Linked DNA regions of Schizosaccharomyces pombe. The protein of the gene in region 2 binds, or shares a complex with, the protein of the main gene of each other region. Each region holds a gene or a part of one and is shown on either strand. Other genes may lie near its edges.

What was found. Proteins that work in one complex are often made in the same cells at the same time.
Region 1: spc24 (region 2) and mis12 share a complex: the UniProt entries of both Schizosaccharomyces pombe proteins name them as parts of the NMS super complex.

Annotation. Positions count from the first base shown.
Region 1 is NC_003423.3:1,137,823-1,141,578, forward strand, and holds the start of mis12 (MIS12/MIND complex Mis12), read right to left. Parts: upstream 1,797-3,756; 5' UTR 1,706-1,796; coding exon 926-1,705; 3' UTR 709-925; coding exon of another isoform or gene 546-708; 3' UTR 381-545; coding exon of another isoform or gene 295-380; 3' UTR 243-294; coding exon of another isoform or gene 234-242; 3' UTR 1-233. Other genes in the region: protein Swi5, read left to right, coding at 234-242, 295-380, 546-708; SCF ubiquitin ligase complex subunit Skp1, read left to right, coding at 2,326-2,374, 2,428-2,475, 2,550-2,917, 2,963-2,983. UniProt on the Schizosaccharomyces pombe protein: Acts as a component of the NMS (Ndc80-MIND-Spc7) super complex which has a role in kinetochore function during late meiotic prophase and throughout the mitotic cell cycle.
Region 2 is NC_003423.3:2,753,614-2,757,369, reverse strand, and holds the start of spc24 (protein Spc24), read right to left. Parts: upstream 1,945-3,756; 5' UTR 1,866-1,944; coding exon 1,712-1,865; exon of another isoform or gene 1,665-1,711; coding exon 1,329-1,664; exon of another isoform or gene 1,199-1,328; coding exon 1,092-1,198; 3' UTR 1,066-1,091; coding exon of another isoform or gene 1-1,065. Other genes in the region: RNA polymerase I general transcription initiation factor subunit Rrn7, read left to right, coding at 1-1,065; transcription factor TFIIIC subunit Sfc3, read right to left, coding at 2,436-3,756. UniProt on the Schizosaccharomyces pombe protein: Acts as a component of the NMS (Ndc80-MIND-Spc7) super complex which has a role in kinetochore function during late meiotic prophase and throughout the mitotic cell cycle.

The DNA.
Region 1 (3,756 bases), 1.6 Mb from region 2:
CGAAGTTCATTATATTGAAATAAGCCATTGTTCGTGATTCAACAATTTACTTGTCTTTCATCACTAATCTAAATTCTCTCTTACAAGAACAATAGACATTGTTTTCAATTGAACAAATCGGTAGGCTCCTGCCTTCCTCAACAACTTAATTTCTACTAGGTGTTCAAAAACAGATACCTTCCTAGTAAATTTCACACATCATTGCTTCATTAAGAAAGAACTGTTTAAATCGTATGGAAAAGGTAAGCCAACGGTACCATTGTTCATTCACAAAATACTGATGAATTACTGCAGTCTCAACTTGAGTCACGCGTCCATTTGCTTGAACAGCAGAAGGAGCAATTGGAAAGTAGTTTACAAGACGCTTTAGCTAAGCTAAAGTAAGTGTGGTAAAGTGATGCTAGAAATGGTAGAAAATATGAGTTATGCGCCTTTACGCGCGTTCAGGTTCATTTTGGGAAAAGCAATGTATTGCCGTTCCATCAAATCTATTCAAGTCATCATCAAGCTTGTCTCGTTTTATCTAATGTTGACAAATGATTTAGAAATCGAGATGCTAAGCAAACTGTACAAAAACATATCGATCTACTCCATACCTATAATGAAATACGGGATATTGCTTTGGGAATGATTGGCAAAGTGGCAGAGCATGAAAAATGTACAAGTGTCGAATTGTTTGACAGATTTGGAGTTAATGGGTCAGAATAATTATTATCCATTCAGTTATTTAGGAAAAAAGAGAAGTTAAACAAAACAAATAAAAATGTAACGGAAAAAGTGACAGAGACAATCCAAGTTTTCTTTATTAAGCATTACTTTGCTTTCGCTAGAGATCCAACGCCAATTCTTATATATTTATTATGAAAGTTTACGTAAACGATCACAATTGTTAGAACATCTCAAGACTTTAGCTAGTTGATTAGTATTAAGGCTCGTCAGTATGTCCGACGTCTTTTTCAGATGACAATAGCAACTTATGAATGTTATTTGCAGTTTCAGTATTGGCTGTCGATTCTAGTTTTGACAAGTGATGTGACCAAAAATCCTTTTGCTGGTCGATGGGATTAGATAATCGTTCGTAACCTTTTTCTAAGTAGGTAATTCTTTCATCCACCTCTCGTGAGTGTACAGTGGGAGAGGCTTCAACTACTCTTTTAACGGCATGCTGCAGATTACCAAGTTGATCAAGAAGGAAATCGGTAGTTTCTGGTAAAGTAACTTGCCAATTTTCGGGTACTTTGTTGAGAAAAGAAATTCTTTCCAAATGCTTTTCTATTTCTGTTTTTTTTTCTCTTTTCCTGCTGAGACGCATGCGAAGGTCACGACGTAGTTGCATCTTTACTACGAGTTTTTCTGCAGCCTCTTGAATTGCTTGATCCATGGCGGCGTCTTGCTCTGTTGTGATTGAATAGTCTACATCCTTTCCAAACGTACGCATGTAGCCTTTTAGCTCTGGTGGATAACTAAAAATGTTTCGAAGTGTATACACCTCGAAACCATCATAGTAACGATCCACCACACTTTCAAAGAGAACCTCGAACTTGTGTAGTCCTTCTTCTATTTCCTGTGGCGCTTTTTTAGCAAACCGCGTTTGTGAAAAGGCTTTATCCACACCATTTACACCTTTATATAACAGTTGGTTCGTAATGTTGATCACATCATCAATGAAGGAGAGAGGAGTGAATTCTAGTAACTCCACTAACATTTTTTAATTAATTCCTTTACATTGAAAACACTGATTAGCTTCCAAAGAGGAAACTAGTGAGTTATGATTTTTAAACGGCAAGTTGTTCTGCAATGTACCAACCCCATGTTGCATTTTGTCTGGTGTACTCAGATATGATAATAACGAGGTAAAAGGGATTTCCGTATATCCCATCAAAAAGTATGAATAATACATAGATTTGTTGCTGTTTTTATTGCTGTGAGGAACATATAACTCAGGCGATTAACAGTTTAGTCGGTTTATTTTGTTAGTTGCTTAGAAGTGTGGCTTTTGATTTGTGCTTGGTAAATCATTACTAGAGTTTCTATATCCTCAACTAAGCTCTAGTGGAGGAATACACTAATATTAACTATATTCGAATTATACATTAATAGTACGGACTCATCTTAAACCTCAATTTCTATGCTTTCTTTTATTATTCTTCAGTAGCCTTTTTTAGCTATCACGGTGGGATCGTTCTGCTATGCAATTTGATTTAATGAGGGTTAGCACCTTTTCCCAATATCGAATTAGTGAGTTCTGCCACTGTAGGAATATCAGCATAACTAGAAATGCTAACAGCTTAACTTTCATTCATCCATTACTTACATACATCAACAATGTCCAAAATCAAACTGATTTCATCTGACAATGAAGAGTTCGTGGTCGGTATGTAGAACGGAGAATGTTTTGAATTGAGTGAATTGACAAACTGTTTATAGATCAACTGATCGCTGAGAGAAGTATGCTTATAAAAAATATGCTTGAAGGTATGATCTATACAAGCGCTTGTTGAGTGCAATAATTATTATGGACCCTGTTACTAAAATCTCAATTTCAATAGACGTTGGTGAGATTAATGTCCCCATTCCTCTTCCAAACGTATCATCGAACGTTTTGCGAAAGGTACTCGAATGGTGTGAGCATCACAAAAACGATTTGTATTCAGGAACTGAGGAGGAAAGTGACATTAGATTAAAAAAGTCTACCGATATTGATGAATGGGATCGTAAGTTTATGGCCGTAGACCAGGAAATGTTGTTCGAGATAGTTTTGGCAAGCAATTATTTGGATATTAAACCTTTGCTTGATACTGGTTGTAAAACCGTTGCCAACATGATTCGTGGCAAGAGTCCTGAGGACATTCGGAAAACATTTAACATCCCTAATGATTTTACGCCTGAGGAGGAAGAGCAAATCCGTAAAGAAAATGTACGTTCCTTGGTACTTTATTAACTTAATTCTAACCGCTTGCAGGAATGGGCCGAAGACAGATAGTTTGTGGCTTTTTGTGTATAAAGTTTTTTGTCCTTGGATCATTAAGTGTAGTTTTCAGTGTAAAATGGGAATCTTCCCATCCACCTCATCATGCGCCTTTTTTTTTTTATAAAAAAAAAATTGATATAAAGTATACTGATGATTTTTTACTACTGAAGTTTTCACGATGCGTGCGATCACTTGATACTTGACGTACCAACACTGGTCGTATTAAGTCGCAGCAAATCAATTTCATTATCGCATATATACAAATGTACATTGATGAACATATTTTATCCCAACAAAGCACATTTCGTTATCTTTTACTGTTGTTTTAAGTACGTATGTGAATTACGATTTAGAAAGTTGAACTTACTATCCCGAATTGCTTAAAGCTTGCTTTTGTCTTGTTACAAAATAGGGATGTTCATCAATAAGATTATCTTTACTCTTCCATTCAATATGGTGAACGATTGGAGCTAATAGTCCTATGTAGTTTGCATTAGCGGTTTACTATAACAAAAAAAAAAAAAAAGAAGTGTTGTAATATAATAGCGCTAAACAATGAATTGTTAAAAAAATCCGATTCTTTTCTTAAAAATAGTGACAGCAGCTATGTAAAATGCGAATCGTAATAATATCAAGCTTCCAAATTAACAATTAATGATTGCGTGAATTTAGTTTACATTCATATTAATTACAAATTTTGTATAGAACAATAGAATTTTTGAACTCGTTACAATTAGCAAATAAATAAAATTAGATAATTAGTCAACGGTTTTCATCCCTTCAAT
Region 2 (3,756 bases):
TCTGCCTTTATTTATGTCGCCTGTCTTTTACTAAGACTGCCTCTGACCATTCATAAACTCGAAGTTTTAATAAGGAAAAATATTATTCCATATTATAGAGCGTATAAACAGATACCTCTAAAAATATTTAAAAGGCTTCAAAAAAACTATGTAAGGATGCTAATTCCTTTTCATTATCCAACGTATCAACGCATACAATCCGCTGTCTTGACATTGGTTGACGTTTTAGTATCTAAATACGAACTAAAAGTTCCTCCACCTAATGAGCCATTGATACTTTTTGAGCTTATTAACAGTTTCTTTTTTCCCTTAGAAATCTTCATACCTGCTTCTCGTTTACTAAATCTCGTTCACTCGCAGATTTCACTTCAAGGTACCTCTAGCGATAATTATCAAAGCAAAATACGCAGTGCTCAATCGATACATGAAAAGTTATCTGATGCGGAGGTTATGTTACTCGCTACCATCTTAGTAGCAGCAAATGTATGTTATGGGTTTGATGATGCCCAAACTCGAAATTCCAAATACAAAGACTCGATGTTCACTGTTAAAACCAACTGGAACATGTGGTTATCCCAAGTGCAAAAAATTAATGAGAAAGAAAAAGACAAGTTCTACGAGATAGACGAGCAATCCATTTTGACGCTCAATAACTCTGAAATGGATAAATATTTTCAATGGTATGAAAAAGAGTTTGTCGAAGAAAACAACCCAAATAATATTCCAGAAGGAATTCTTAACGTATTTCCGATTCTTTCGAAAGACAGCCATTTACAAGAAAATCAACCTACAGATATACTCACCGACGAATCCGTCATTGCTGAAGATGTAAAGTTAGAACAAGTGTTCAAACCTGTAGGCATTAAAGAGTCTGATAAAATGGACTTTTCACGACGAAAGGATGCTTATATATCAATGCTTCCTTTTTCACCTAATACAGAAAATACAGCTCATCGGGTTACTATCATGGTAGCCAAATTGTATAATATCAAATTGGATTCTCTTATAGCGGCCATTCGTTATGTTGAGTCATGTTTAAAAACCGGTATACACAATCAAGATTAAATAAATAAATAAAATAATAGTGCCATCTATTTTTTGTCCTTACTATCATCAAGCAAATCCCAAAAATAATTAGAATAAAAATATGGGCTATACTTGTTGCTGATTTGTACCGTTTGCAAATCGTTTTCGGTATCTAGGAAAGTGTGAGTAGATTCGAAAAACAGTTTTAAAGTTCAATTTTAAAGCTTGAATTTTTCATATCATCAAGCTTTTTAAAGATAAAAAATTGAAAGGTAAATTCAAATTATGAGCAAATGACATACGTATTATAACCCTTTTATTCCCAGTGTTCTCAGCAGTTTCTAAATCGAAGCCTAAAGAATGATAAAAGTTCAGCTTTAACATATTCGCATTTTCCTCTGACTGACATATGTCTTCAGAAGTATTTTCGCGTTCCTCAAGTTGTAGTAGCTGTTCCTTCATTTTCTGCAATTGAGATTCTAAACTCATAATTTCGTTCTCAGTGATATTCAACAACTTGGCTATCCTAAATTTCTCCTTTTCCCTGCTTAAAATCTCCTCAGCGTGTTGTGATGACTCTGCTGTTTGTTTTAATGACTCCATAGCCTGGGTAGATATTTCTAATTTTCTTGAAAGCACTATTCACAGTTAATGCATGGTCGTTTATTTCTAGATTAAAACTAACCTTTAAATTTGGTTTGAGATCCTTCCAATTCTTTTTCTCTGAAGCTCTGTATCTGTGCGCGAATGTCTTGAATGTTTGAGATGGTTTTCACATCTGGTGCAATTTGAAAACCAGCAAGCGTGGACCGCATAAGTTCAATTGGACTGTCTGACATATTTACTTCTCTTTTATTTATGTTCTTTTGTGTTTAAAAAGTAATTTCTTTGAAAACTTTCAACGTGGTCGTAACGTACGAAAAGGTACGAATGATGCTACCGTAAATAAAGTATGGTTAGAAAATCAACCTTACTCTACTAATATATATATATATATATATATATGCATACGTAAATTAGTTAAACAAATCTACATGATGCAGGTTTTTTCTTTTTTCTATAGGAGCTAAAGTTATGTACATAAAACAGAAAGAAAAGAGATAACCTCGATTCAAGTTTTCTTCACCTTTTCAGCAAAACAGTCGATGAAACCTTTTTGATTTTTATACGATATAAAGTTTAGATGGAAGAAAACGCGAAATCAGATTAATTCAAAACACGCTAATATAATTAATTATAGATTAGAAGCAGACACAGCGTGGTATCTTTTAGATAATTTAAAAATGAATCCTAAATACTGTACAAATAAACATTAAATCGTTGCTTGTAATATAAATGTTCCAAATCGACAAGCCTATTGAAAGAAAATACTCAGCTTGCATCATCTCATCATGGTGACATTTAAAAGGCTAAGTTAATTTAAAGAGATAATTATGGTTTAGATATAAGCCATCCTTTTCAATAGCGGCACCTGCTGCTATAAAGTAATCAAGTACTTCGTTAAACTCACGGGGTTCTAATCCGGGAAATAGTAAGTTAGTCAGTTGGGATCTCAAGATTCCGGGTTTTCGAAGCAGTTGGTATACAATGGACTGCTCGATATTCATCCATATCATCTCAATAAGCTCGCATTTACCATTTAACCATAGCCGTGGCTCATGCGAAGGTGGAGTTGCCAACTTTTCAGTAACACCATAATTTTTTTTAGATTCACTTTCTTTGCCGCTGAGAACAAGAGTTACATTGATATTGTCATGTTCTAGCAAACGAGTACGATAGCCTTCAGATAGACCATACTCATTAAACTTGCTTCCGACTATAGATATTTGCAACTTTCCTTGAGATAATAAATCAAGGATACATGCGAGAGTTCCACTGTTAGATGTTTCTTCAAATAAATGATTCTTATGATTTTGAAAACCCTCCAATAAAAATTTATTAAATCGCTTGGCTTGTGACAATAAAAATGGAGGTAAAGGAGACTTGAGGGAACTTGCAAATTTCTCCGTAAACTGGAAGTTTCGACCAGGCTGCAATCTACTGTTTTCTGAATTAACTCTAGTAATTATTCTCTTATCCAATAATTCTTGATGAGCAGCGATGAGAATATCTTCTGGATACTGCATAAGACGTTCTTGCGAAAACCGAGCATCATATGTAGCGTCTGGGATGGCAACGATGCTCTTGATAGTAGACTTCGCATCAAACAACTGACCTTTCTCACAATTCTCATCCCCTTCATTATTTTGTTTGTCATTTAAGGAAAGCGGCATGGTAAAAGGCATATCACAATACGCATTCATTTTCGAGGCAACTGACAGGGAAGGATCAAATATCATTTCCCGGAAATTAGTTTCTTGTTTAACAACCTCTATATTGTAAGTTTCATAAACGTCAACGAGGTCTCTCGGTAACCTAGTAGTAGCAAGATTTGAAGAACTAATCATATAAGGTCTACAAGACGCCTTAACATATGGGGTAGGATCAAAATCATCAACAGAATCAGGATATGGCATTAAATCTTTTCTTGAGACAGCATCTTTGTACATTTGCTGCCAATTTTCTGATAAAAACTGTTGCAAGCCTTTAAATTTTGTATGTTGTCTAATGGATAAATATCTTCTAGTAAGAGCATATATGTCCCGGTTAGGAAAGCATTTCTGTACAGCCTCCCATTTGATTAATCTGTTGGTCCCACCATAATAAATTTGAGTAATAACAACCGCTCTA